4 linked regions of the Diceros bicornis minor genome follow. The protein of the gene in region 1 interacts with the protein of each later gene in a biochemical or structural test. Links are inferred from orthologs where the notes say so. Each region holds a gene or a part of one and is shown on either strand. Other genes may lie near its edges.

What was found.
Region 2: the proteins of PDGFRA (region 1) and PDGFA form a complex in vitro, tested with the Homo sapiens proteins (2 studies listed by BioGRID). The link is inferred for Diceros bicornis minor from reciprocal best matches to the Homo sapiens genes PDGFRA and PDGFA.
Region 3: the proteins of PDGFRA (region 1) and PDGFB form a complex in vitro, tested with the Homo sapiens proteins (3 studies listed by BioGRID). The link is inferred for Diceros bicornis minor from reciprocal best matches to the Homo sapiens genes PDGFRA and PDGFB.
Region 4: the proteins of PDGFRA (region 1) and PDGFC form a complex in vitro, tested with the Homo sapiens proteins (2 studies listed by BioGRID and IntAct, with this or other methods). The link is inferred for Diceros bicornis minor from reciprocal best matches to the Homo sapiens genes PDGFRA and PDGFC.

The regions. Positions count from the first base shown.
Region 1 is NC_080747.1:42,185,833-42,192,999, reverse strand, and holds the start of PDGFRA (platelet-derived growth factor receptor alpha), read right to left. Parts: upstream 3,016-7,167; 5' UTR 2,834-3,015; intron 134-2,833; exon of another isoform or gene 1-133. UniProt on the Homo sapiens protein: Tyrosine-protein kinase that acts as a cell-surface receptor for PDGFA, PDGFB and PDGFC and plays an essential role in the regulation of embryonic development, cell proliferation, survival and chemotaxis.
Region 2 is NC_080765.1:13,954,998-13,961,973, reverse strand, and holds the start of PDGFA (platelet-derived growth factor subunit A), read right to left. Parts: upstream 3,021-6,976; 5' UTR 2,988-3,020; coding exon 2,736-2,987; intron 2,232-2,735; coding exon 2,135-2,231; intron 1-2,134.
Region 3 is NC_080764.1:10,876,800-10,883,759, forward strand, and holds the start of PDGFB (platelet-derived growth factor subunit B), read left to right. Parts: upstream 1-3,951; 5' UTR 3,952-3,967; coding exon 3,968-4,030; intron 4,031-6,960. UniProt on the Homo sapiens protein: Growth factor that plays an essential role in the regulation of embryonic development, cell proliferation, cell migration, survival and chemotaxis. Potent mitogen for cells of mesenchymal origin.
Region 4 is NC_080750.1:44,820,520-44,828,022, forward strand, and holds the start of PDGFC (platelet-derived growth factor C), read right to left. Parts: upstream 3,012-7,503; 5' UTR 2,144-3,011; coding exon 2,026-2,143; intron 1-2,025. UniProt on the Homo sapiens protein: Growth factor that plays an essential role in the regulation of embryonic development, cell proliferation, cell migration, survival and chemotaxis. Potent mitogen and chemoattractant for cells of mesenchymal origin.

The sequences.
Region 1 (7,167 bases):
TTACCGAGCAGGCTTTTAGCTTTTCCCCCAGAATTGCCACTTTTCCATCAGCAACATGTAAACCCGTCGCAGCTCCCCGGAGGCCAGAGGGAGTCCCACCCGCTGGGATCTGCAGGAAGGCGCTGGCCACCACGTCCCCAGAACGCGTCTCGGCGCTGCGCGCCGCCCACGGCCGGTCCCCAGGAGGCACAAAACCCGCCCGCCTCGGCGCCAGACGCGTTTGCAGCTGGAAAGCCCGGCCCGATGCCCCTCCCCCTCCACCCCGCCCCAGGCCGCGCCCCGGGAGGAAAGTGGCCCCAGGGAGCCAGGGCTCTGCTTCAGGTCCCTCGTGGTCTATCTAAAGGCTGTGCAAGGGCCGAGGGGCAGCTACGGGTTCCCTCCCTGTGCCTCCCCCCACCTCCTCTTTCTGCCTCCCCCTTCGCTTTCAGGACTCCAGTCCTGGAGCCCAGCCACACTTGGGTCAAACCAAAAGCAAGACTGTGCAAGAGCCCCGAAGCAGGGACTGACCAGGGCGTCAAAGCGAGGCTTGTCAGGCCCTCGCCTGTCGGGGGACAGAGGAAGGGCCTCTTGTATCGTGAGGATCGTGGAAAGAAGGAAGCCGAGGGTGAAGGAAAAGGGGAAAGGGACCGTAGGGTCCAGGTGGGTCATATGGGCGTTGGAGGGGCGTGAAGGACGTAAAAACCAGAGCCAGTGCGGCAGCGGATGGGGTGCGCACGCCTGGGGCGCCGGTTCCTCCCCTCCAGCTCCCCGGGGTCCCGCTGGGCTCTAGGGTGTTAGTCTGGTGACCTGTGCGGCTGATCGTCGTGCCCCATTTGCTCTGGATGGCTCTCTCTGCTCTGAGAGGCTGCCTAGTTCTGGTCGGAGCGACCGAAGTGAGGCGAGTCGGTCCAAAACGTTGAGCAATTCGGCTGCGAAGCCAAAAAGCCATTTCCCACACCGCCCAGCCCCGGGCTTTTCCAGGCAGCTCGGCCGGCGCGGGGCAGCCCGGATCCGAAAAGGGCCATCCACGCTACTTCTCCAGCCCAGGTCTGCCTCTCACCCTCCGAGATGGAATGAGTGGCAAGTTCTTCCAGGCACACTGTCTGCACATCCTGAGGTCTTAGCAGGGCTGGTGGAGCAAAGGGCGGGACCGGCGCTCTGGTTTCGGGAGAGACCCACAGCGGACAGACAGCCCAGCACTTCCTTCCCGGCAGAGACGCGAGGCCAGGCCACTGGCAGCTCCCGCACACCTGGCCAGGCGGCCAGGGCTCCTGGCCCCCTCGGGCAGCGGTACTCGTGTCGGGCCACACTCCCTCTCGCTTTAAGCTGGCCGCGACCCTTTCCGAACAGAACCGCTGATCCCAGTAGTTTCCGAGCCAAGTGGACACCGCCCCATCCCCTGGCGCTGCCGGGAGAAGTTAATCTCACGTGTAAACGCCGATTTCCATGGGGATAGACGGCTGAGGAAGGAGGGGCTCGAGGAGACAACTCGGAAGTGGGCAGGGAGGCCGGCGCAGGGAGTGGAATGGAGAGAGGGGGCACTGGAGAGGATGAAGCAGGCAGGGCGAGTGCAGGGGGCGAGGGCCACGCATCCCCGCGCGGAAAGGGGCACGCGAGGGGGATCCAGGGCTCCGGTGCCCGGAGGGAGGTAGTGTGGGCGGTTCGCCTCCCACCTTTCTGTCTTACCTGGGAACCAAGTTTCTCCGTTTCGAGTCGTCCCTAACTTCCCCACAAGAAGTTCGGCACTTTTCTGGCGACCTTCCTTCCTTCCTCCCTGAGGCCAGCACTGGGCAGCAGCAGAACCCCGGGTTTTGCAGAAACGATTCCACCGAGAAAGGGGGCGCTCAGAGACGGGTGGGGGTGGGGACCACAGCGCACAATGAGGGCCCCTTGGAGCGCAGTTCGAAATTCCTCAAATCCCAGTTGCTGGAATGCGAGGCGACGATGACTTCTTTACTCGGGGCCAAATGTGTTTGTCATTACTCCAGACCGCCTGCCTGCCTGCCCGCCCGCCCGCCCGCGCCGCCGTCGCCCCCGCGCTAGGACGCGCAACCCGAGCGCACTGCGGGGCTGGCGCCCGCTCTCCCTCACACTTCACTGATCCCACAAACCACTGGGGAGCTCCCCAAGTCCGCGCCCCCTCGGCTTATCTTGCAGCCGCCACGGTTGTGCTGAGTCTGGCCCCAGCTCGCACCCGGCGCAGCGCCGTCCAGTAATTCCGCGCGCTCGGCCGGCGCCATGTGAACCCGGCGGGTACCAAGGTCCAGCCCTCTCCAGCCGAGCCCTTCACGCCTCCTTTCCCCGCAACCCTTTCCGCGCCCCACTCGGCGCTCTTCTCTCCCCCCTCCCCCGGTCCTCCAGCCGCGCTCCACGCCACCGGCTGCAGCGCTGTCCCACCAAACCGCGGGCCAGGAATGAAAATACTCATTAAAAACCTGTCGCCTTCCAGGATCCACTGCCAAGAAGAGGGCAAACACCTCTGCCCCCACTCCCAGCATTTCTTGGTCCTCGTCCCAGTATACAAATACCACCCCCAACCCTAAAAGAAACCTCAAAAATGTAAGCCTAAACAATTTCTTGGGGAGGCCGTAGAGTTGTTAGAAAAACACTGCTTTTAAAAATAGGTCTGGAAAATGTGTTTTTTTAAATCCCTAGACTTTCGAACTCTATGGTTATCTTCCCTCCAAGTGAAGTTTATTCAAAATAAATTACTCTCTAGACACACTACTGGAATTCAACTCCACTTTTTTTTCCTCATCGCCCAAAGTTTGAGTGAAGTTACTTCACTTTCAGCCCAAAGGGCCTGATCGGGGACTTCTCTTAGAAGCAAAAATCATTTTTTCTCCTCCCTTACCTTCTCCTCCTCTGTCAATTCGCAATGAAAATCCTACATATGGAGTAAAAAGTGTATCCACGGCCTCCAGTCCTCTCCTGTAGTCGTCCCCTCCTCTGTTTCTCTCCCTCTAGCTCCAACTGTAATGGGCTCAAAAACCGCTTTTTGTAATTGATTCAATGTTATAGTCCATCCTTCTAAAACTAATCATTTGCTCTAAGTAAATAGCTGTCAGGAAATGAAGCCCCCCCTCCCTTGGCCTCTTCAAAATAAAAGTTTCCCTCGAACTCCGTGCGCTCTGAATCTCCCAGCCTCCAGATTGCGCCTTCGCTTTTGCTCTTACGCAATCAGGGGGTCCAGCCCCAAGCCCCAGACTTCGACAACAACTGGGGGGCGGGAAGAAGCAGACCAGATGGGGTGGGGGTGGTGGAAAGGGGAGGTGTTGATGCTCTGCCGGGAAAGAGGTTCGTGAAAATACAAGCTGCCCATCATTTCCAGAATGAGTTTGCCTCCTGATTTGAAGGATCTTTTCCTACGCTGCTATATTGCTTTGCATTCTCTTTGAAAGGAAGAAAAAGAACCCATAAAATTGCAGTTAATGCCGAGAAACAATATAAATATGGAATTGAAAAGTGTCCCTTCTGTAGAAATGCCTAGCCTAACTAGAAACAGGGCCTTCCGGAGAGGTCTCCAAGCGGTTGCGTCGTTTTGAACCTGAGGTCTTTTAGGGAAAGTGCCGTGTAGTTGCTAATCCTTTAATGGGATTAGGCAAACTGTTGAGTCCAATATGAAGATGATGGGGTGTTTTGTTTTGTTTTGTTTTAAAAGGGGGATTTGAAAGAGAGTACAAAGAATCGAGGATCTGCGTAGCTTTGGAACATTCTCCGACATAACGACCTTTACTCCCTTGGAGCCACTTATCTTGTCGTGTCTTTGTTTTCGGGGTTATCTGGGCGACGTTGCCTGGCTTCTATCACGCACACAAAAAGGCTCAGGCTTGAGCGTTTGGGGAATCGTCTACAGCAAGGCTGCCACCTCCGCGTTCGGGGGAGGGTGCATGTCGACCCTCCCCGCCCCGTGGGTCAGACCCTACCAGTGCCCTGGGGTTGAGAGCGGAGTTCCAAACCCTATGTCCAAGGCGCGAGGCGCTCGACAGCGCCGGGAGAGAACGATCCTGCCCGCGAAGGAAAGGGGGCGCTGATGCTCCAGGAACCAGACCTGGGCGGAGTGGGGCTTCTGAGCGAGGGCGGGGGAGGGGAGCGCGTTCTCCTTCCCCGCCTTCTCTAATTTTGAATTCTCTCGTGGGGTGGAGAGAGGCGTCCTCTATCCCTACCCCCACCCCCCACAGTCTCAGAATGGCCAGGGCGGCCAGGTTGAGACTTGAACGTCGGACAGCCATCACCTTCTCCCTCATCGGGAGGGTGGACACGGGACGGCCGGCAGGGGAGGGTCACAGAGAAGTACTCCGAGGGATGCTGTACTTAACTGGGACGGGCTCCTTGGGTGTCAGCCTCGGGAAGACGCCTGCGGCTGGGCCAGGGGCCCCGTTCCCCCAGCCCTTCTGCGCGCCCGCCTCTCGTGCATCTTCAGTTCGGGTGACTGCACTCCTCACTATTACTTCCACATGTTCCTTCAGGAAATCATTGAAGGCAGATATATGAACAGCCCCTTGTTCGGAATGCTAACAGGATACCGTAATGTTTGTAGATAATGGACGCGAACTAAAGACCCCCCAAAAAAACAGTGCGGAATAATAGGAAAAAGCGGGTGCTAGCTTTCATGCTATTAATAAAGACAAGTGACATCTAAGTTTTTATACCAAGTACCCAAGAGGGTAGGAGGCGAGGCAGGGAGCCTACCCAGGAAAGGCCTGCTTTGCTGCCGGAAAATGCCAGCCGGGTCGCGCCGGGGTCTCCCGAACGCAGGGCCCCGCGCTCCCCGCCCACAAATGGTACCTTCACAGTCCATTTCAGAGACGCTTAAAGGGGCCCGAAAAGCGGGCTGGGCGGGGGTGTCTTCGGGCCGTAACTCCTCGCGAGTTTAAAGCAGAGGGAATGGATGAGCAAGTGAGCACCCAGTTGTCCTTCTGGTAGTAATTACCTGCCTAATTTGAATGATGCCTTTGTTATGATCATTAACAAACATTTGCTAAAGGTTTCCATGTGTGACATTCCAGAAGGTTTAAAGGCCTGGGGAGCTGACTCCCGGGATAGCGCACCGGTGGGGGGTGGCACAGGGAAGCAAATGGTTGGGGAAGATTTCTCCGAGTCTGGGCAGTGGGGGCCCAGACTCCATCTGAGATGGAGAGAGGTCAACATCTGCCTCGCCTGCAAAAGCAAAATAAACCCAGTGTTCAGGAGCAACCTCGAGGGCTGGAGGCCCTGGAAAAGAGGCGGTTCGTTCCTGAAAACGAGTCCAGCCCCGCCGCCCCCTCCCACCCGCACCTCCCACTGCTCATAGGCGGGTTTGAATCGTGCTGTCCGCCCTCCGCCGCCGGTCCGAGGCTTCCAGGGAGTCGGGTCTGCGCGCGTCGGTCAGCCTGGGCGTTGGGGGGAGGTGGGCCGAGCGGAGCTGCGCTCTCCCCATGTTGTTCTAAGATCCTGCCAGATTGCTCCCCCGACACCCGGGGTCCTGGGTGGTCCCAGAGACGCAGCAGGCAAGCCGCCTGGTCTTTTCCCCTCTTCCTCGGCTTCTGCCCGGGGCACCGCGGGGGACCAGGCCGCCCTGTGCGCCCCGGGGAGTGACCTTCACCGGCCTGGGAGGCGGTGCGAGAATCCCAGCCCGCACCCGGATTTTGATTGTCAACCTCTTGTGTTTTTTCCTTGAGGCATCATCATGGGGTTAAGAATGAGGCTTTTCTCCCCAAACTGGGAGTCTGAGCGGCTGCGACCCCCTGGGAAGGAGGCCCAACTCCGGAGTTGAGCTGGGCCGGGCCGTCTGGGGACAGCGGCGGTTCTGGCGTGGCCTCTCCTGTCTGGGCCCACAGGCGACATGAAATTGGGTCCAAGGGTATAAAGGGATGTAGTAGAGCCAGCCATCAAAAAGAGGGCCCCGCGAACTTGTTACGACCAGATAAACATGGTCTGAAACAAACAAAATCTGCCCCCGCGCCGTCTCGCGGGCTGGCTCTTTGGGCCCCCACTCCTCCATAACCGCTGCTGCTGCTCCGGGCATCACACCTTCGGCTTCGGTGGGCGTTTGCCGCTGAGCTGGCTTTTTGTTTCTTCTCTACTCCTCCCCTGCTCTCCAGCACCAACCCCCAATTCTACTTTCTTCGGGAAATTCACAAGGTCTTTTGCTTTAGAAGACTTATGGCTGTAGCAGTAATCAAAGCCGTTAGTTGTGAAAATCCCATGTAAACAAACTTGCGATTTTTTTTTTTCCAAATGAAGTTCATGGGGTGGGGGCACATTTCTAGCTTCTGATTTGAAGGGCCCTTTGGTGGTTTGCAAAAGAAAACGTCGCTACTACCCCCCTCCCCCACCCCTGTCAGTTCTTGACCGCCCCTGGAGGAGCCGCCTCCCTGGGCCCCGCAAAGGGACCTGCGTCGGAAAGGCTCAGAGGAGGCTTGTGGATGTGGCACACAAACGTGGGGGCCCCGCGGGGAGACCGGCGAGGACCCCGCCCTTGCCTCTGGTCTGCCCCAGCTGAGGCTTCCAAGCTTGCTGGAGCCTCTTTGCACTCTGAGAATGCAGAGAGTCCCAAGTCTTGGAAAAGGAGGAGGAAGAGTTCTCCAAAAGGGTCGGGACCGGCCTGTAACTTGGGGTGACAGTTCTCCTCTCTCCAGGACTCCTGGCACACCTCCCCTTCTTCCCCGTTGCTGGATGGATCTAAGGGCGCAGCGTCTCCTCTGGGTTCCTTGGGGCTTCCTCTCCAGAGATGTGTCTCCCGAGAGAAGCAGAAAGCAGTCCCCTCTGGCTGGTGACCAGCTGCACCCTCTCCAAGGGTTCCTAACATCACAGACTGCTTCCTGACCCAACAGAGGACCAGAGATTGTAAGCCCTGTTTTGCTGCCCGGCCAGGCTCAGCCCAGCCCAGGTGGGCCTACACTCCTCAGAGTTGGGAAAGATGCAATGGGCCTGGACCTCCTCAGGATCTGGACTTTCTGATGCCCTTTTCCTGGGGAGAAAGCACTGCTGCCTCAGTCTGGGGATAGTTTTGTGCCTCCTACTCCCCTCCTTCTTTTTAGGCCTTAGCTTTTGCTTACTTTTAATTTGAAAACCCATGTGAGGGGAAGGGGAGGGAATGATGAGATTGGGAGGTCTGCTCTGTATTAGGGGCCTCAGCCATCCAGCTTTCCAACACACAGCTGTGACTGGGGAGGGGAGGGAGGGCGGCCTCTGTTTAGGTCAGCC
Region 2 (6,976 bases), on another chromosome or scaffold:
ACACTGGGTTCCCGGCTCTAGCCCCCTCCACACGGATTCCAGATGGGCTTCTGGCTGGACCCAGTGTGGAGTCCAGGGCCTGGAGGGCCGAGAACTGACCCCCCAGCTGTTTATAGCCTCCCCCAGCATCAACTTTTCACTTCAGGAACGACAGGAGTCGAGACAAGGCCCCTATTACAAGCTATAGAAGCAACTGGGGCGGCTCCGGTGCTCAGGTGAGAGACCGTGGGCTCCTGGTTCTCAGCATCCATGTCTGTGAAAGGGGGCTGGATCAGGAGCAAGGAGACCCACCTTGGGGTTTGTGTCACAAAGGGTCGCCCTAGGGGCAGGGCTAGTGAGCAAGGAAGATTCCTGAGGCCCCTCCTCTGTTCTCACCCCAAAGTTTCCCAGGCAGTGGGAGTCTCGCCCCAAGAATCATATTCAGTCTCTAAAACGTCTGACAGGTGGACAGGGGGCAGGTGACCCACTCTGTACTCTCTGGGACAGGAGAGAGACGAGCCCCCCTGGTCTTCTGTAAGGGAGAATCTGAAGCTATCCGGCGAACTGGCTGGGGCATCCTTGCTCCAGTTTGGACTCTCCCAAAGAGGCTCGGGGCCCAGAAGCCCCCAGGTCAGGAATGCAGTCCACACAACCCCACAGCTGCCAGGCTGAAAGTGTTAATGGGTGGGGGCTGGGGGAGGCGGGGCGGCAGAGACCAGAATAAGAATGGGACCGGCAGAAGGTGAATGGCCCATTTCCCGGTGGCATCCCAAAACCATCCCGCAAGGAGGCCGGGCCCATCACAGGGCTCGCTTGGGCAAACCAAAAAAAAAAACCCTGGAACCTTCTGGGGGAGACAGTCTCCCCACTTTCCCAAATCCATCAGGGACCAGCAAAATGCAGGCGAGTATTTGCCTCAGCAAACCCGAGTTAAAACCTTCTCCCCAGGGCTACACAGCAAGAAGCCAGATCAGAATCCCCCCCGGCCCAACTCTGATCTCCAAGTGAAATTCTACCCCCTTCTTGATAAGGATCAGCCCAAGGATTTCCTGGGTCAAGAAACTACAGAAACCGGCGGCCTTGCTAGAAAATGGTTTTGGCATGAAATGAAAATAGTCAGACCTCTCTCTCCACCACCATAATTAGGTACAAATTTCCAAATGACTAGACCATGTGATTTTACTGAATTTCCCCTCTGCCCCCCTACTTCGCAGTAGTTTGCAGTGAGAGAAAAATCTTCATTTCACTTAAAATTCTTCCAACCAACCCCAGCTGCCTCTACTTGCTGGGTTTGACAAGTTCATCTGGGGCCTCTCTCACCATCAACAGTAAGTTTTCCATGTGAGTATTTTCCTAGTTAAATCTCACACCCGAGTTCCCACCCACCAAGATGCGGGCCAGAATCCCTCTCTTCTGAAGGGGCTCCCTCTGACCCACCCTCCAGCGCAGCCAACCTGGGTCCCAACCACTTCTGCCCACCCCGGGGCCAGTCCAACTCCGCAACGACGCTCAAGAGCTTCCAAACTCCGCTTTACAAATAAACCGTTTTCTAAAGTGGCTCGGCTCCAGGGCCCGAGGGCGAGCCCCAAAATAGTCCCCAAACAGCAGATGTGTCCAAGGCGCGCCTTTTTATTGGCTCGTGAAAAGGGAAAGGCACGGGCCTCCTGCAACCACAAAGGCCCAGCCCCGCGGCAGGAGCCGGACGAGTCCGCAGCGACGACAGAGGGGCCCGACCCGGGGGCACTGGCTCCCCCCGCGCGCCTGCCCGCCGCGCGCCCGGGCCAGGGCTCTGCGCCCGGGGCCTGGGCTGGTCCCGCGCTCCTCCGGCCGAGGGCAGGCGCGGGCCGCACACCTGGCCGGGACGCCGGCGCCCTCTGCGGCTGAACTTTCTGTGACACACGAGGCATTTTCCTTAAATGCAAAAACAATCTCTGGGCGAGCGAGCAGCCCTCGGCCGCCGCCGGAGGAGAAAGCGGTGATTGGAAGAGAAACGCCTGACTCATCCGCCTGGGCTTTTATGGCCCGGGATTGGATTCTGACCTTTCGGTGCGCTTCTGCGCGGCGCCCGGCCTGGCCCGAATGCAGGAGGCAGCCGGGGCGCACTCACCGCCCGCCCGAGCCCTCCCCGCGCGCCAAGGGAAGGGGCGCGATTTACCTACGGAGTCTATCTCCAGGAGTCGCTGGAGGTCCCGGATGCTGTGGATCTGACTGCGCGCCAACCTCTCAATCACCTCGCGGGGGATCTCGGCTTCCTGCAAGCAGAGCCACACGGTCAGCGCCCCCAGAGCGCGCCTGGCCCCTGGGCCTAGGTGGCCCTCGACTCCGCCCCGGCCCGACCCACGCGGGCCCCTAGCGCGCAGACCGCCCGCCCCCCGCCAGGGCCCTGGAGGTGGAGGCTGGGGGTGGGGCTGGGTGAGACCCCAAATCCCCAGTCCCCATCCCTGTCTGCTCTTCGCAAAACGAAAGTCCTCCCCACTCCTATATTTCCAAGCCTGAGCCCCGCGCCCCCTGGGGTGTCGATTACGGGAGGTCTGGGGGCGGCGAGGGGCCCGGAGTTTCCGATTTAATAGTGAAATCGACATCGAGAAAGATCAAGTTGAAATGCGTCACGGATCGGCGACCAAAGTCACAGCGGCCCCAACACTTTAATCCAGCCAGGGGCTTAAATTTCACACCCCGGAATCCCGGGCCGAGCCTGCAGGGAAGAGGGTCTCTCCGGCTCACGCGCGCGCGCACACACTCACACCCACACTCACACACTCGCCCCACCCCAGGCTCCGGCCCAGCCGCGGCCCTAGCGCCGACCGAGACGCCCCAAATGCAGCCGGCGCTGGAGAGGCTGCTGGGGACGCGAGAGTTAAACATCCACCTCCCGCCGCTCCCCCGCCGTGCCCAGACCACCCCCAACGCCGGGCTCCCCCCGCTCCTTTCTGGTTTTTAAAGGGAGTCGGGGGTCGCCGGGGGGTCTCGAGCACCAAGTTCCCAGGACGGAAGCTGCAGAAAGTCATTCATCACCGCGGGGCTCCCGGGGATTCGGGATTTTGGATTGGGGGGTGGGGACGCCGGCGGTGGGAGGGCGCGGGCGCCTGGCCCGGCCCCGGCTCGCCTCGCGCAGCCACCTGTAAGCAGGCCCGGAGCGGGCGGGACTGCGCGGGCCTGGGCGCCCCCCCGGGCCTGGGGACCGGGAACCGGGGGCTGTGGCCCCGCACTGCTCACCTCGCCTACGGGGGCTCCCGCCGCAGCTACCCTTACCTGCCTCTCGGCCGCTCTCCTCCCCTCCCCGGGCTCTGCCGGCTCTCACACACCCCCTTCCGCGCTCCCCGCACCCCGATACTGCATTGCACGCCGCGCCCCGGGTTCCCTCCCCAGAGAGGAGCCCGCGCCCCCCGAAGTTTCTCCCCACTCGTCCACCCCGCCGCTACTCCGTCCCTTCACGGCAAAGCGACGCAACACGCTGGAAACTCACCAGACACACTTAGGCATGGCAGAAAATAAAACCCAGTTGGGAAAATTTAAAAAACGACCACCCTGGCAGAAATCAAAACGCACTCTGCAGAGCCCGGGGCGCCCCGGCCAGTGGGCGGCCGCAGGGGGCGTGCGCCGCGGGAGTCGGAGAGGGGACGGGGCGCGGGGGGTGCCACCCACCTCGGCCAGGGCATGGGCGAGGTATCCGCAGCCGAGAAGCAGCAGGCAAGCCCAGGTCCTCATCGCGTCCCGAGGCGCTGGCGGCTCGGCGGGGAGGCGAGGCCGCGGGGCGGGCGCTCCAGCCGGGCTCCTGTGGCGGCGAAATTCAGTACCATCCCTCAGGGAGCGCGGCCCGGAGGAGGGTGGCGCGGCGAGCAGGGAGCCGGCGGAGCGCGCCCGGCGCGAGCAGCGAGTGCGGAGAGGCAGGCAGCGCCAGCGAGAAGGAGGAGCAGGGAGTGCGCGCTCGCCGCGCCCGCCGCGCCGGGAGCCTCCTGGGCCGCCGGGTAGGGGGTGGGGACGGAAGGGGCGGAGGGCGGGGGCTGGGCCTCTTCCTTGGTGCGTTCCCGGTGCTGGCCGCCGCCGCGCTCGCTCCCCGGCGCTGTCTTTAGGAGCGACCCGGCCGGTAATTCTGCATATTTGCGGCCATCAGCCCCGAGAGGGACCCCGGAGCGAGGCTGGAGCCGCCGCCGCCGCACCACCCATCACCTGTCTGGACGCCCGGCCGGGCCCCGGCCGCGGGCTCGCGCTCTCCCCGCGGGCTGCGGGCTGCGGACGGTCCCCGGGCCCACCGCCGGCCCCGCGCTCGCCTCCGGCCTCCTCTCGCCGCCGCGCCCGGCCGAGCACGGCGCGGCCCAGCACGGCGCGGCCCGGCGGCCTGCGTGCGCCCCTCCGCGGCGCGCCCTCGGCTCCGGCGCCGCGCTCCGCCCTCCGCCGGCCCGAGCCGGGCAGCGCCCGCGGCCGCGCGGGGCCTGGCCGCGCGGGCCTGAGGGCAGGCGCAGGGCCGCGCCGGAGCCGCTGCCACCGCCGGGAGACGAGGAGGAGAAGGAGGCGCGGGCAGGCCCGGCTCGCTGGAGTTGTGCGGGCTCCGCAGGGCGCGCGTGTGGAGCCGGCCGGCGGCGGGGAGGGGGTTATAGCGCCGCCGCCACCGCGCCCCTCCCCCCGCCCCCTCCCCCTCGCCTCCCCCGGATTCCGGGCCCCGGACCCGCACCTCGGAAGCGCGCGGGGGCCGCAGGGGCCGGGCAGGGCCCGGCCGCCTCCGCCGCCGCCGCCGCAGTGAGCACACACACGCGCTCACGCGGGCAGTGAAATCCATCAAAGCGGCACCCGGCTCCGAGCACGGTCGCCGGGGCTCCGCGCGCCCCTCCCTCGAGCTTGCCCACCCCCCGTGCCAGCTGCAGTCCTGCGGCACCGGACGGGGAGGGGAGGAGGCCGCCGCAGAAGCTCCACCGTTGCCGGCTCGCCTCTCTCGGGCCTCAGCGGCGGCAGAGGGCAGCGCCCAGAGCTGCTACGCCAAAAAGGGCAAAAGCGGCCGGCCCCCGCCCCCCGCCCCGGCTTTCGGGCCTCTTTCCACGATTCGCATCCAGGGCCCCTGCCTCCCCTTCTCCGTAAAAGGAGGGGAGTGAGTCTCCGGTGGGAGGTGGGGCGGGTCTAGGGGCGCGTCTGGGGCACTCACCTGGCGGCCGCCACGCGCCCCCGCCCAGAATCCGGTGCCCGGGGCGTCTGGATGAGGCCTCCACCCACATTCCGAGAGAGGAGAGCGCCCAGGTCGGAGGAGGGGGCTGCAGCGTGCCTCGTCCCCACCCTAGGGCCCCGAGTCCCCAAGTCCCCAGTCCCTCGTGGAAGACCGGGCCGCGGCCTAAGCCGGGAGAACTCGCGAGGGTGGAAGGGAAGGAACAGAAAGGAGCCGCTCGTGAGGAACCCCGTGTCTGAGCCTCCCTCTCCGGGATCCGCTGGGCGCACAGAGCGCCACCTCCGGCCGAGGCGCGGCACAGAGGCGGTGCGGGGGAGCGACGCTCGGGAGGCCGAGGCCTGAGCTGGGCCGGACCGCTCCCCCGCCACGTAAGGGCAGGTGCACCTGGGCTGGACAGATCTTGCCTGCCTGGACCAGGTGGGATCGGACCCCAGCGGCGGGTCGCTCGAGTACCAGGCCTAGACTGGCCATGCGACCCCAAAGCTAGACGGCCGAGGTCCCTGGAGGCCAAGAGACGCCCGGGTGGGTGGGTGGGTGCCGAGAATTCCGCCCGGCCGGGCCCTCCGCCCCCAGCGGCCCCATCCTGTAGATTAGACTCGCGCCCCCGCCGGCTGCCCTCCCACCACACACAGGCAGTAAAGGAGCAGCCCGCGGGCGGTCTTTCATCCCGGGCCCAGCCGGCTCTGGCATTTCAAGGGCGCTTCGGGGGTGCTCACCTTCCCGCAAATACCTGGGGAGGCGGGGAGGGGGCCTCTCCTGCGGTTCCTAGAGGGCCCGGGTCTACAGTGCCCTTCCACGTGCCTCACACACCTGCAGCCCCCACGGCCCTGCCTCCCCCAGGCCGCAGCCCCACCATGCGACCTCCGCTGTCAGCGGGCTCCCCCGGCGGTCAGAATGAACGACCGAAGCATAACCAGGGAAAACTTGGAAACGTCTAGAAGCACGTGAGAGCCAGTCTTGTCTGTCCAGGTGGAACCTCCTATTGCTCCGGAGAGGGAGACCGCTGGAAGGAGGCCAAACGCGCACCGCCGGGACCCGGGCTGGACACGGGTCCGAGCCACCCCTAGTCATCCGGAGAGCTGACTGCCGTCACAGCCCGTTGAGCCTCGGATTCCTCGGGGGCAGAGGAGACCCGAGGACACTTCTTTGGGGTTAAAAGACTCGGTTTGATAGTGGGTATGGGAATGAAGGAGGACAAGTCGGTTGTGTTTAGGAACAGCACACACAGCCCTCCCACTTCCAACCTCTGCACAGAGGGTCTCCGGTTCCTGGGGGTCCGAAACACCTCTGAGCAGGCCTGGGTGGGTGCTTCCCTCTGCGCCCCTCCCAGCCTGGCATTTCAGAAGCGCCCAGTTCGAGCTTGGGGCCAGGAAGGGAGATGTGCGGACGCGGAAGGGGGGCGTCCTCGAAGGGAGTCTGAGGCCAGAGCGAGGGCGGGGAGCAGGGCGAGGCCTGGAGAGCTGCGGGGGGCGGCGCGGGCCTCCTAATCGCCGGCCGCTATTAAAAATAAAACCGCGGCACGTCGTCATAGCGACCACGACAACAGCGGCCGCACGAGGGTGGCAGGAACCTCTGCAGCCGCGCGACAGCCGCCTTTGGGGGAGACTCAGGGCACGACGCGCGTGCGAGCACCGAGGCCCGCCCTGGGTGCGACAGGGACGTCCCTGACCCCACACGCCCCACCTTCCCCTGGATCCTCGGAAGAAACTGGTCCCTAGGAACTCTGTTTCCAGGACCTGGAAATGGAGACTGGAGGACCGACTTGACCAAGAGGTCACCAATTTGGGTAAGAACCCACGCCCCGTGGCCTCCCTCCTGGCTGGGCTCCTCTCCTCCACACCC
Region 3 (6,960 bases), on another chromosome or scaffold:
CCGTGCTTCCAAGTTTAGAGGCTCATGTCACAGGCCCCCTCCCCTCCTCTCACCACTCCTCAGGCGGGGTCTGGCATCTTTGCCCTAACAAGCCAAGACTCAGAGGGAGAAACAGGCAAGACATTTACTCACGTACTCATTCCTTCAGCCGACATTCATGGAGCAAGTACTGTATGGAGAGCTGCAGTGAGGCCCTCGCTCGTTCAGATCTCGGTCTAGTGCTAGACTGATAAACAGGCAATGACAGTACCACGGGGTACATGCTGTGGGAACCCAGAGCAAGCACCAAGCCTGGGGGGCTTCCTGGAGGAGGTGCCGACTATGCCGAGCCCGACACGAGGAAGAGGAGGTGTTCTTTAGAGAACTGCTGGTGTGGAAAGACCCATACGTTGACATGGGGTCTGCAAGGAGAGGAGACAGGAAAAGGGTTCTCCTTAGCGTGGCATTCAGGCCAGGTGCCATGTGGCCCCTGCTGCCTCTGCTGTCCCTGTCCTGCTACTTCTAACCAGTGCACCAAGACATCTGGATTGTAATGATTTGTGTCCATCTCACTCGAGAGCCTGGAGGTCCCGGAGTGCCAGGGCTGGGTCTCCTTCCTCATTCCATTTCCCAGTGCTTCCCACAGGGCCCGCATACAGTAGGTGCTCATTGATACTGCTCCCAGTAGCCTTCCCCACTCTGCATCCCTCCCCTGAGGCTGAGCTGTGTGCTCCCACAGCACTTTGTGTGTAAGTGAGGGCTCACGTCAGTACAGCTCCTTTCCGATGGCAAAGCACTTTCACAAATATTAATGTGTTTGATGCTCACAAAAGCCCTGTGTGAAAAGCGTCACTGTTGTCATCATCACACCTGCCAGGAGACAGCACAGCACGGTGGTTTAAGCGTGTGGGCTGTGCAGCTGGACTGCTTGGGTTCAAGACCTAACTCTACCACTTCCTGGCTGTGTGACCTTGAACAAGTTGCTGAACCTCTCTGTGCTTCAATTTCCCCATTTGTCAGATAGGAGTAACATATCTCATAGGAGCACCGAGAGGCTACACACAGAGTAAGAAGAACACTCCCTACCACACAGTCACCTCAATAATCATGGTGGCTGTTATCCCATTTATAGATAGGGACACAGAAGGCCACGGTCAAGACCACCCAGCTGTCCGATGGAGCAGGGTTTTATCTCTAAGTCTGTAGACTTCAGATCTTGTGTTTTGGGATTATCTTCCCATCCCCTCCCCCTCATCTCCCTGTCACCCTGTCTCCTAATTTATCTGTTTACGCATCTGTCTGTCCTTCTGGATGGGGCTCCCCCAGGTCAGAGTCTGTATTAGCATTTTGCTGTCTCCTCAGCGCCTGGAACGGCGCCTGGCCACCGGAACACGGGAAAGCTGTGTTGAAGGAAAGAGGCCCTCCAGGGGCCTGCCTTCCCGCTCTGCGCTTCCACACGGTTATCTCATCTGAGCCTCCAGACCACTCACGGCAGGTAAAAATTCTTCTACGACTGTATCGAGGTACAATAGACTGCACACATCAGTTTTAATATATGTGTATACCCGGGAACCCATCACCACCAGCAAGAACGACAAACATTTCCAGTACCCCTAAACTTTCCCCATGCCTCTTTGAAATCCCTCCCTCCTTCCAATCATAGATTTATCTCCAGATTACAGGGGAGGAAGTCGAGGTACAGAGAGATTGACCTTCCCAGAGACACTCGGCCATGAATGGCCACTCCAGGATCTGGGCCGAGGTGAGCTGGCCCCGGCCTGCCTCTGTGCCATGCTGCCTGGCAGTGATGGGCAGAGTGGGCGCCTGTGGTTGTCTGTAGAGAGGCCCTCTTGGGAAGCCCCCCTCCTCCACGCCGCCCTCACTCAGGTCCAAGGAGACAGTTTACGAAGAGACGGTGGGCATGCCTGTCTCGGTGACGAGGGTGTGTGCTGTGCGAGGAGCAGACTGACACCCCAAAGGGATGTTTGGGTACAAAGGGCAGATGACAGAGCCAGTGCAAGGGGACCAGATAAAGGTGTCCTAAAGCCAAGAGCCAGGTGATGCTGTGAGCCTGCGGGTCCCGTGGTGGGTGCTGGGCTCGGCAGGCGTGCGTGTGACTGTGACTGTGACCGTGTGACAGCTGAAGGCAGGGACGCAGCAGCTCCCAGAGCTGGGGGTGGAAGGCGTTAACTGTGTGAATGCTGGCGTGGGTGGGGGCCCTGGGCCTCAAACCTGGGGGGCTGAGGGAGGTAGTAAACATCAGAGTGACTGGAGGATCATGATGGCTCCCTGCAAGGATGCTGCAGGGCGGTGGGGGCTTGTGTGACTTTGCAGTTCAACAAATTCAAATTCAGCCAACGCTGGCAGGGCTTGTGGTGTGCCAGGCAACCAGCTAGGAGCAGGAGACATGGGCCCGGCTTTCAGCTGAACGGTCCCGGCTGCCGGGTTTGTGTGATCCCCTTGCGGCTGGCTTGTGGCTGGCTGCTTTCTGCCTTTTCTGGCATTCAGTCCTTACACTAACCCCATCCTACTTGGAGGCTGGATGGAGGAGCACAGAAAGGAAGTGACTTGACCAAGGTCACCCAGCAACTCAGCGCCAGGGCAGGATCTGAACCAAGCTGCAGGGCCTGAGTCCTTCACCATCCTTCCGTGCCAGGTGCAAATGTCTGGTCCTGGAGGTGTGGGCTTGGCCTCCTGGCCGGCCCTGGAGACATACCCCCACCACGTTGGCTAGAAAGCAGACCAGGTCACTGTGCCGAGGGGCGCGGCTGTTGGTCGCCCCTAGTTCTCTCTTCCCAAGAGCTAGATTCATGGACAGAGGGGCTGCCAGGCTCTCAGAGACCCTTAAGCGCCCCATCCTTGTCTCAGGCCCTCCCCGAGCTCCCGCCCCCCCTCCCCTCCCTCCTGGTGCTGACTCTCGGCCAGAAGAGGAAAGGCTGTCTCCACCCACCTCTCTCCTCTATAAAGGCCAGAACAGCTGAAAGGGTGGCAACTTCTCCTCCTGCCGCCGGGAGCAGCCCGTCTGCCTCCCTGCGCTCCCGCAGCCTCCCCCGCTGCTTCCCTGAGGGCTCCCGTCCGGCCGCCAGCGCCCATCTTTCATTCCCGAGATAGATATTTTGCGCACACACACATACACACACGCGCAAAAAGGAAAAAAAAGCCCACCCTCCAGCCTCGTTGCAAAGAGAAAGCCGGAGCAGCCGCAGCTCGCAGCCCGCAGAGGACGCCCAGAGCGGCGAGCGGGCAGGCAGACAGACCGACGGACTCGCGCCGCCTCCACCTGTCTGCCGCGCCCGGGCCAGCGCGCAGCCGGCACGCCGCGCGCGCGGAGCAGCCGTGCCCGCCGCCCGGGCCCCGCGCCAGGGCGCACACGCTCCGGCCCCCCCACCCGGCCCGGGCGGGAGTTTGCACCTCTCTCTGGCCGGGTACTCGGGCCGCAGCTGCAAAGCCAACTTTGAAAAAAGTTTTTTTGGGGAGACTTTGGCTTTGAGGTGCCCAGTTCTGCGCTTTCCGACTTCGGGGGCCTTTCCAGAAAATGTTGCAAAAAAGCTAAGCCGGCGGGCAGAGGAAAACGCCTTTAGCCGGCGAGTGAAGACGAACCATCGACTGCCGTGTTCTTTTTCCTCCTGGAGGTTGGAGTCCCCTGGGCGCCCCCACACGGCTAGACGCCTCGGCTGGTTCGCGACGCAGCCCCCCGGCCGTGGATGCTCGCTCGGGTTCAGGATCCGCCCAGGTAGCGGCCTCAGACCCTCGTCCCGCGCCCAGGCCCTCCCCAGCCCCCCAACGACGGAGACGGGGCCGGGGGCGGCGGCGCCCGGGGGCCATGCGGCTGAGCCGCGGCGGCGGCTGCAGCGGCCAGAGCGCCTGATCGCCGCAGACCCGAGCGGAGCCCACCTCCCTCCCCAGCCCCCGCCCCCCACCCTGGCCGCGGGGGCGGCGCGCTCGGTCCACGCGTCCGGGGCCCTGCGGGGCCGGGCCCGGAGTCGGCATGAATCGCTGCTGGGCGCTCTTCCTGTCTCTCTGCTGCTACCTGCGTCTGGTCAGCGCCGAGGTGAGTTGCGACGGCGGCTGGGGCTAGTTCGCTTCATTCATTACCCCCACCCCCACCCCTGACCGCCCTCGCCTCTCCCTGCAGTGAACTTTGGACCCTTGCAGCCTTTGGGCCTGGCGCCGGGCACTAGGTGACCTCCGAGGGCTGGGACGTGAGGTCCGGGAGGTGCCAGGCTCTAAGGGGAGGAGGCAGCGGTGGCTTTCTTTCCCATGGGCGATCCCACATTTCCGAGCTTCTAAGTGTCGGGGGAGGGTGTGTGTGGTCCTGTCTCCCACCCCTCAGGAACCCGAGAATAAGCCCCCTCCCGGCCGAAGGGAGAGGGGGTGGGGTGGTGCCGCGGGTGCAGAAGGCAGCGCGTCCTCCCGAGCCCACTTCGGTTCTAGCTTAGATTCTGTCCAGGACCCGGCTTGTCCGGGAGGTGCGACCTCGCGCACCGGTGACAGCCACGCCAACCTTCAGCGGAGGTTTGCGTCCCACCCTGGCTCCCGCTCCAGGTCGGGGTGGTCGCCCTCTGGCCCGCACAGGGCATGCCCAGCCGGAGAGCGCAGTCCAGGAGCAGCATGTGTCTTGGGTGCGGGGAGCGGGGGACGAGAGAGAGGTCTTGGGCACTCGGGATTAGGAGAGGAGTGGGGGTTCTTAGGAAATCCAGCCCCTGGGGCGCTGTGTGCCTGAGGCCCCGCCATACCTGCGCCCGCGCCCTGCGAGAGGAAGCACCTCTCCCCGGCTTGCAGGGTGCGGAGCGCGCCGCCTGTAAAAGCCTAGCTGCAAGGGAGGTGGGGTCTAAAAACGTCTGCGGAGCTCTCAGGTCGGATCAGTGCCCCCACCCTCCCAGGCTCACGTAGCAGTGAGTTGGCAAGTCTACCCGGAATCCAGGTGGGAAAGGGGGCGGGGCAGGGAGGAGGCGCGAGGTGGAGGCGAGGCGAGGGCAGCGGGTAGCGCGGCGTGCCAGGGTCCCGTCCCGCCTCTACTCGGCCGCGGCCGGGATCCCGCACCTCGCCCGCTCCCGGGGAGGGCCGGCCCCTCTCGGCCTCCAACGAGGCGCAGGGAGGCGGCGGCGGCGAAGGGGTTAAGGTGAAGGGCTCCGAGGCCGCGGCCCGGCCTTGGGCCGCCGCCAGCGCAGGTTGTTTTGACCACGGAAGAGCCGTCGCCGTCTCCTTTTGTTCTCCCGGCTCCTCGAGGGCCGCCGGCCGCCCGCCCTGGGGCCCCGCCCTTCCGCGGCCACCCCCTGCGGCCCGCACCCGGGAGGGAGGACGCAGGGCTCGGCCGGGCCGCCTGCAGGCCCCTCCCGACGCCCCCTCCTCTCCTCTCCTGCAGCCCCCCGGGCCGCGGCCAGCTGTTGGGGAGGGGGGCGCCGGCCGGCCCCAGCTGCCGCCTCGCCTCGCCGCGGGGCCTGGGGGCTGGGCCCGGTGCCAGGGCGTCCTGGGAACGGCGGCGCCCCCGCCGCTGCTCTCCGCAGCCCACCCCGCTCGGCCCCCCGACTGGCTCACTCACCCCACGCATGCACACTCTTGGCCGGAGGCGATGCTGCGCTCCGGCGGGCGGGCGGGCGGGCGGGCGAGCGCGCAAAGCGACGGGCACGCACTACCGCGGCCGGGTCGCGCGCTCTCCGCCGCCACGCCCGTGCACATGCGGGGCACACGCGCGCGCACCGCACACACGTGCACGCATGGCCCCCGCACACGCGGCCTGAGCACACGTGCGCGCACACCCACGCACGCATACGGGCACGCACGGTCCCTCTACACCCAGCGCCAGGTGCCCGCCCCCGCGCAACAGGTGGGTCCTGGAACCTCTTCACCTCTGTAGTGACCCCATTTCCTTCCTGGGTCTCATGAGGGAAGGGGAACCGGGGCCCTCCCATCAGGTCCCGGCTCGACGGAACCCCCTTTTTTTTGCCTGGTCAGGTCAGCTCCACGCCCCTCCAGCATTACCCTCTGTGATTGCTTTTTCCAGCCACCCCCGTGTGGCCGAAAGTGGTGGTGATGTGCCCTGGGGGGCGCTGTGATGTCCAGAGCATTTCTGTCTTCAAATGAGCCCTTCTTTGAACCTCCAAGACTGGAGGACCCCGAGCCGCTGAGGGGCTCCCACCCCCGACTGTTCTGGCTTCTTTGCTGATCCCGGCATGCTCAAGGGAGACCGAGTGACAGCTGGATGAGGCTGTCCCAGGCCTGCCCTCACCATTTCCAGCTTCAGCCAGCACCTTCTCCTCCTCTTCCACAAGTCTCATGGGTATGTGCGTCTAGGGAGGAGGCTGTGGCACAGAAGCTGGTGCCTTCTCCTCCCTTTAATCACAGCGTCCTTGAACGCATGGCCCTCAGGACCCACGATTGTGTGGTGCTTTGCAGTTTACGAAGCACTTTCCTGCTAGGCCTGAGTAAGCCTCAGGTGGCTGAGGGAGGAGACCTAAAGGGAAGACCTGCCGACATGGGGGCCAGTCCAGGAAGGGAGACTCTGGGAGGGCTTGCTGGTGGAGGTGGGCTTCGGGCTGACAGTGTCCCGGGCCTGCTTGGACTGAGCCTCAGGTGGAGGCTTCAGCAGCTGGGAAGGAGGGGTGGGAGCTCTGAGGCCTATGAGGTCCCATCTCCATCAGCTGAGCTGGCTTCCTGGAGGGTGACTCCCGCTGTCATGTGACGCCTCCGGCCTCAGCGCCCTTCTGCTGGGGAAGGAGTGAAGGAGCCCTGCAGGCCTTCACCACCCAGATGGTTCCTTGTGGTTTGCTGATGGCCTTAGGCGGTGGGAGACCCACCTGCTGGACTCTCCCAGTCCTGGAAGTGTGTGCAAGTTAGGATCAATCAGAATTTGGAGGCTTTGCTGCAAGACCCAGGAGCAGCGTGTGTGTGTGTGTGTGTGTGTGTGTGTGTGTGTGAAAGCGAGAGAGATTGATTCAGCAGGCGTGGTAAAGAGATGTTTGCCGTGGGCCTCATAAGTCC
Region 4 (7,503 bases), on another chromosome or scaffold:
AAGAGCTAAACATAGCCCAATACTCTGCCCACAGATTAGGAAACAACCAGGCTATTTTTAACACCATGCATCTTAGGAATGGCAATGGCCCAGCCTCTGATGGCAACAGAATGTGTGTGGTCAGGCTTAATGAACTCACCTCTTCAGAGGGTGTGGACCTACTCAGTAAAGTGGCCAACGACCGTATGAGACCTCTGGGACCCATTACAAAGGGATGATGGTATGTGGATCACAAGAAAGAACAATAAGGAAAGGACAATGAGAGGCACAAGTAGCAAAGGGAATCAGGAAGATGACAGATGCCAGGACAGACTTGATAAGACAGAGCAGTAGGGAAATGATATGGGACAGGAACAATAAAAAACAGAACACAGAAGCCAGGAATATTACGCATTGTCATGCTGGAGAAGCTTGTCTAGTAAGAAGCAATATTTTGAACTGGACATTTATTTTACATGAGAAAGAACAAAGGTTGGTCTGATCTGTTTCCTGCCTGGGTACCGCTAGTGCTGTGGCTCCTTTGATTGCTTCTCCCAGTCCTCTGCAGCTCCTGTGATTACAGAATAGATCCCTAGGCTGCCCTTTGATCAGCAGCTCAAGCAGCCTGCAGGTGCCATGTGCGGTCACATTAGCAAGTTGTAGGAAGCAACCACATTATTATTGGCTGATAAATGTGATACTGTGTATTGCTGCACATACAACAAATATAAACAATCTCTACAAAAGTCCCAGGAATCCTTATTTTGTCTACTTTTGTACTCTAGAACTTTCTGTACTTTCTTAAAGGTGAACACTTCAGAGAGTTTAAATTCAAAGTTGAAGCTTTGAAACACCCCAACACATAAAGAAAAAGTTGCTGTGACTTAAAAATATAGTACACACCATTTTGATTTTCTAGGTATGCTGTTTGTGTTCATTTCGCCTGGTTAATGAAGTGACAGCATTCTTGCATTCTGAATAGATGACATGCAAAGCAGTAAAAACATGTACATTTCCTTTCAAAGAACATTTAGAGCCACCACTTGTAAACAGGGTGTTTAATATTCTAATTTTAGACAGTCTACATTAACATTGTGGTTTCATGTGCAGTATAAAATTTCTATTTACAAAGTATTCTCAAAAATGACTTCATAATGGTAGATCAAGAGAAAAAGAGTTTAGAAATTGAATGATGTAAATCATATGGGGTTCAGAGGCTAAGCAAATTACACACCCTGAAGCTGCCCTGGCTTTATGAAAGAAGCCTTTCTCCAGCTCTGTGCAATCCCAACCCAAGGGAACTTGCATCTGAGAGTTTTCTAAACATTTCAGGTACACTTGAAAGCTGAAAGTAATTCTCATTTCCTATGCAGGATTAAGTCGTTTCCAGCACACACAAAATAGCAGTCATTCACCAACACATAGAAAAACACACTACCAGAAAGGTAAGGACTTCAGAGTACAAAGGCACATTTTTAAAAAAAATAGAGCTCAAGAGAAGTACACTTTTTTAATTCCCCCTAAAAACGTCCACACGGCCTCCTGACCTCTGTATTTCCTATCTACTTACTGATTAATTGATGCCTTTCCACTTAGAGTGCTGCAATTAATGTGGCTGATACATTTCCTGAAACACCCACCTCCCCAATGGGAAAAAAAAAAAAAACCTGAGTGAAGTCAAACATGCCAGGACTCATTCATTTTGGATTCGTTTTTAGAAGCAGCTCTTGAACTTATAACTCTGGCAACGAGAGGTCCTGCAATGTGAGTTTGAACTGACGTTCACAATCGCTCCCAGGGTGTCCTCTCTCTAGCTGAGGCTGCAGTGGCACTCACGTTGCCCTGTTAGAGCTCTGTAGCAGCTCCCGAAGTTGCAAACTGCACGTAACCCCCAAAAGTCCACGCCAATGAACGCAGCGCGTATTTGCATGGATAGAGAGACGATTATACCCTCGCAGGCTGGTGTACATCACACACCAACGCACAATGCCAACGTAACGCACACAGCGAGAAAACAGAAGGGGGAGTTGGGGGGGAAAGACTCACCGTTCTGTTCCTTGTTGCTGGAGAACTGGAATTTACTACTCAGGTTGGACTCAGCCTGAGTCCCGTGTCTCTGGCCGGCCAGGGCAGATGTCAGCAGGAGAAGCCCGAAGAGGAGCATTTGGCTGACTGGGGCGAGAACTCACTCACGGCGGGCACTTTGGAAGCAGCGACTCCCGAGTCTCTTTCACCACCGCCAGGGGAAGGCTGCACTGGGGTGGAAGCGCCGAGCCTGCTCTGGCAGCAGAGAATCGTAGGGTAGTTTCCACATAATCCCATCCAAAACTTTTTCCTAGAGCCCTCTTCTGTGTCTCCAGTTTTTGAAAAGGATCAAAGCAAAACCTGGACCTGAACCAGTTTCCCAAGGTTTAAACAAATCCTGAGCTGTGCCGAAGTGGTGGGGGTGGGGGTGAAGGCGAGGGAGGAAAGAGGGGGTGGGGACGCGGGGGAGCCGGGGGAGCGGCGAGAAGTCACCAGCAAGTTGCTGGGAGCACCTGTCAGTTGGGGGGACAGGACAGAGGCGAAAACTCAAGGGTCGCGCGAAGCCAGCCTCGAAGCCAAGTTGGCGGCAAGCAGTGTCTGATCAATAACAAAGCTGCCAATAGATGCGGCTCTCCGGGCGCCCCTCTCCCCCGCCCCACCCCCACCCCCGAAGGGGGAGGGGGAAGAAACAAGGCGAGGGCGCCGCGGCGGGTCCCCGGGGCCTCGGAGCCGGAGCGGGGCCGGGGGGCTCCGGGCCGAGGTGTCCCGGGCGCGGGCGGAGGGAGGCCGCGGGGCTCCTGCTCCCCAGCCCGGCGCGCAGCCTGCGCCCGGTCCCCACCGCCGCAGCACGGATTCCGGCACCTGGCTGGAGTTTTCCGCGACCAAAGTTCACCTTGTTCGGGTGCGTCCCTCGCTCCTCGGAGCCAAGGGAATTTCGGCAGCTCGGGGTCACCGCGGGGCTCCGGTCCTTCCCCGTCCCCGACTGCCACGCCTCGGGCTCCGCGCAAACCTCGGAGCTCCCGGCGCGGCGTCTCGGCACCGGGTGGAGAGAGAAGGCCGGGCGACCCAAGGCTCCGGCTTGTCCCCTCCCCTTCGCTACCTTCCCCCAGCCCGGCGGCAGTCGAGAGGAGGGGGCCGTGGGCCGAGCCCGGGCGGAGCGCGGCCGGCGAGCGGGGGAGGCTGAGCCGCTCTCCCGCGGGCGGCCGCAGGGGCGGGCGGGGGTCGGCGCCTCGGGGAGGGGCAGCCCCGGGCCGCGTCGCTCCCGCCGGCTAGGGCCGCCAACTGGCAGTCCAGCAGGTGCTGGCACAGACAGGGGGTGCTGCGGGGCTCGCTACAGGCGGGACCCCAACGACCCCGGCGAGGAATGCAGCCAGGGCGGCCCCTGGTTTCCTCCACAGGACACCCCTCGCCCCAAATAAAGAGCAGAATGGGTGGCAAAGGATGCTGCAAAAAGCAGACTGAAGTGGGGAAGAACTTCCTGCAACTCTGCCTCTTCCCCCGCCCCCCGTGGCCGTGACTCGTTATTAATTTCCGAGGGGATCCCCATTCCCAAAGGGCTTGTCCGGGACCCTTGGCCAGAGTTTCTGAAGCGAAGGAAGAAGGGAAGTTGGAATTCAAGGATTTCTCTCCATTCTCTCCATTTTCCAGCTCTCTGAAGCGTGATGGATAAAGCAAAAGTCAAGACAAACGGCCAAAATAACAACAACATTCATTCGTTTAACAAGTACGGTCTTTATTGAATGCCTACTGTGTCAGGCACTGTTGTAGGAGCTGGGGCTGTGGTGGTGAAAACAGAGGAAAGTCTCTGTCCTCTGAGGCTTGCATACTAGTTGGGCTACATTAAATTAATATCAAGCAAGTGCCATGGCAAGCAAATCAGAAATATTACCCAACGTCTTGTGAAACAAGTCAATGCAAACAATTCGACCACGTGTGGTGCTCCCTACGGGATTGGAAGGGAGGCTACACCCTTAAGGCGTCTGCCGAAATAGGGGTGGAGTCTCAAATGCCTCTTTTTAAGGAGCTGCCTTTCCTGGCCTTGCAAGGCTGTCTACTGAGTATCGAGGAGCGCTGCCCTGAAAAAGGATCCAGGAGTGCTTAGGCAGGGACACAACACCTACCGGACCAACCCGGCAGCTGACCCTTCCTCAGTCATGCTGAAAATACCACGCCCTCTTCCTATGTTTGGGCACCGACTGAAACCAACCAACCTGAGCTGTGTTTGTAGTAACTAGTCCTCTTCTTTTTTCCTCTCTTAAAGTTCTACTAAGCTCAGCTCCTCTTTGAAACCTCTACTCACCTATTCCATTCATTCTTTCTTCTTCTTTACCACTTCTGTCTTCAGAGTACAGGATATCAAGACAAATAAGGCCCAGTCTTTGACTTGAAAGAATTTAGAGTTTAGCCTTGTTATTTTATTCCCTTTAATAGCTCCTCAATACCAATGTGAATCTATATTTGCACAAAAAATATGTTCCAAAAACGTTGTGTAGCTTTTTGAGGGAGAAGGGGAGTGTTCCCAATTTTAATAGCATAATGAGACTTGTTATGTAAAAGACATGCGTTATGAATGCATTTTAATCTATGCGTAATAAAAGTAATTACTCCCCAGTTTTTCTCATTTTGTAAGTTTAATATTCTAATCAGGATTTTTCTAAGTGAGGCTGTCATATGTTTGCATAGTTGAGTTTTTTGGCCACCCACATAGAGAGTGTGTGTGTGTGTGTGTGTGTGTGTGTGTGTGTGTGAGTATGTGTTTGCAGATGTAATCCATTTGCTCTCTGGAGATTATAAGCGTGATGACTACTCTTTATTTTGTATCATTTCATATTGGCTAGAACAGTGCCTGGCCCAGGGGGATAATGAATAAACACTCTTGACTGACTGACAGGTTTCTTTATTGGAGTCACTTACATTCTCCTGGGAATTTCAGCATGAAGGTTGTATTTGAAAAGTTACAGATGATGTAGAATAATACTCTACCTCTGTGTTTCACCTCATCCATATTCTACAGATTGATTTGACAATTGCCTTATAAATAAAGCCAGCCAGGTGCTCCTGCATGACCTCTAGACAAAATCATGTCCACATTGCCCAGTTTCCTTTCAACGTACTTGCATTGTTGTTTCTTGAACTGCTCCTGCCGTTGGTATAGTTGATTCTTTTAACACTTTATCGTCTGCCTGTCTTCCTGCTCCATTTTACTTATAAACCTTTCCTAGGAAAGCGCAATCTTTGCATTAAAAGTAAATTTCATGTAATCCAGAGTCTGCACAGTTACTAAACAATATATTTTGAATGAATATTGCTTTGTTTTGGCCTGAAGCATTTTCCTTGAGGAAAGGCATCTGTTCCGACAACCAAGAGAAAATAATTGCAAACATTCTTTGTGGTTTTCGTGTTTTTTTAAACCTTAGGAAGGAGTGCCCACTCTGGCTGAATGCATGAAGAGCGTTACCTATAAATTCTTCTTGAAGCGTATGGTAGAATGTACTCAGTTATTAACAATGATAATTTCAGGGAGGGAGGGTGGGTGTCACTACTAAATTTTCTTTTATGTGATATAAAATTTTAAAGCAAATTACACCTTTAGCTAGTTACTTAACTGTGGAAAGCAGGAACTACAGGGACATATTTTTGCCTCAGAATATCAAATATTATAAATTTTCCTGCTCTCTTCTTCTGTTTCAATGTATGTTTCAGGCATACACACACACATAAAGGTATACCAGCAAAATTATTTTAAGACTTTTCCCAGAACTTTTCAGTTTTTTAGTGGCAGAAAGTTGAGCATGAGTTTGAGAAGTTCAGAAAGCTCTATTCTACCTAAATGTCTATTATGTTTCCAGAACGGCTAATAAACAACACTTACACATACATATATATGAGGCGAGGGGCTGGGGTATCATTAGTAAGCAAAGTAAATGGCCACAGATCACCACAAGAATAAAAACTGTTCTGCGGGTAAAAAAGAAAAAAATAAAGTAGTGTCTCTTAGAGTTATCCTTTTCTCTCTTCACTTTCTCCAATTATCTTATCTTGAGAAACATACGACTGTACTATTTCTAAGTATCTAGGATATAGTAATACTCTGTTTTTCCAACCTAGAAATAGTAAAATATGTTTTTTCTTATTTTTTATTCTTCTACATCAGTCTGCCTTTACTTCCCAGTGTTAACAACTACTAATCTGAGAAAGGCTTGCTTCCTGTGGCAGATGTAGAGGGTTGTGCTAAGGCCCTGCTCTCAAAGGAACAGATGTACTTTTTAATTTTAACTTTTTTGGGAAAGGAAGTTGGGAAGTGGGAAGTTAGAGGTGTGTGACCGTGAGAAATGGGTGGCAAAGACTGGCCTTTGGTGGCCTCTTTGGCTTTTCCCATTGAAGTAAAGCTGCTGTTCCCTTTTTGAAATCATGGTTGAGTATGCATAGATTTTTTCCAAAATCTTGGAAGTGTTTGTCTGACTCAGAACTCAGAGAGAGTAAGTAGCCAGAAACAGTCCCAAAGAAAGAGAAGCCATGGTAACCTTTGAACCACCACAACAAAAGATCATTTCACTGGGAGATGGGAGACCAGGGACTTAGTCTGGCTTTACCACTAACAAACAGTGCAACCTTGATCTAGAAATCCTCTCTGCCCTTTTTCTTTACATGAGACATTTCCACTGGATTCTGTCTCAATCCTCTTACTGCTTTAGAATTCTTTGGGTCTCTGAGCTATTCTAGGTGGTGATGGCAATACTTTTTCAACTTAATTGTACTTCTGTGACAATACTTGACTAGAATAATGGTTTCCTGGCCTTGACTCAAAGGTCTCTTGGTGGCTGGCAAGAGAAGATGAACAGGTACTTCTCCCTAAACTTCTCCAATCAAAGTAGTCTTCTTTTACCTGTTATTATTATGGTTTGGAAAAACAAATTCTATTGGTAACCAAAAAGAAGGGGAAAAAAAGTTTGGAAATCACTGACTAGGGCAAGTATCAGGAATTTTATTGAATTCAAGGAAATTAAATAAATTATGTGTGGGTATCCAGATTTTAATTTTTACTATTTGTTTGGTATCATGATAACAATATCAAGAGAGGCAAAATGTGGTCCCAAGGTAAAGAAAAATAGCTATAGTGCATAAGTGAGTTGTTAATAATAAGGAAATAATATTGTTTTTAGCCAAGAACAGATAACCAATCTCCTACTGTTCTATAGAGTCACACTGGTGGAATGTAAAGCAATCCTGGGAGCAAAGGGCACCCCTTAAGAATGTGGACAGCAGCCGAACACTATGGTTGGTCATATCCTCCAGTCAATAAGATGTCATTTTTCTCTCTCTTGAAATCACGTATAGGATATGAGGGCTGTTGTCCGCATGGTGACAAATCATCGTAGAGAGGTCAAGACACAGCTACAGATCCTCCTTTTTGAGATAGTGACCCTCTTATTTCAAAGGTCATGGGAGAAGGAGCCTTTCACTTTGTGATCATTGTTTCAAATGCAGTCCTTTCCTTGG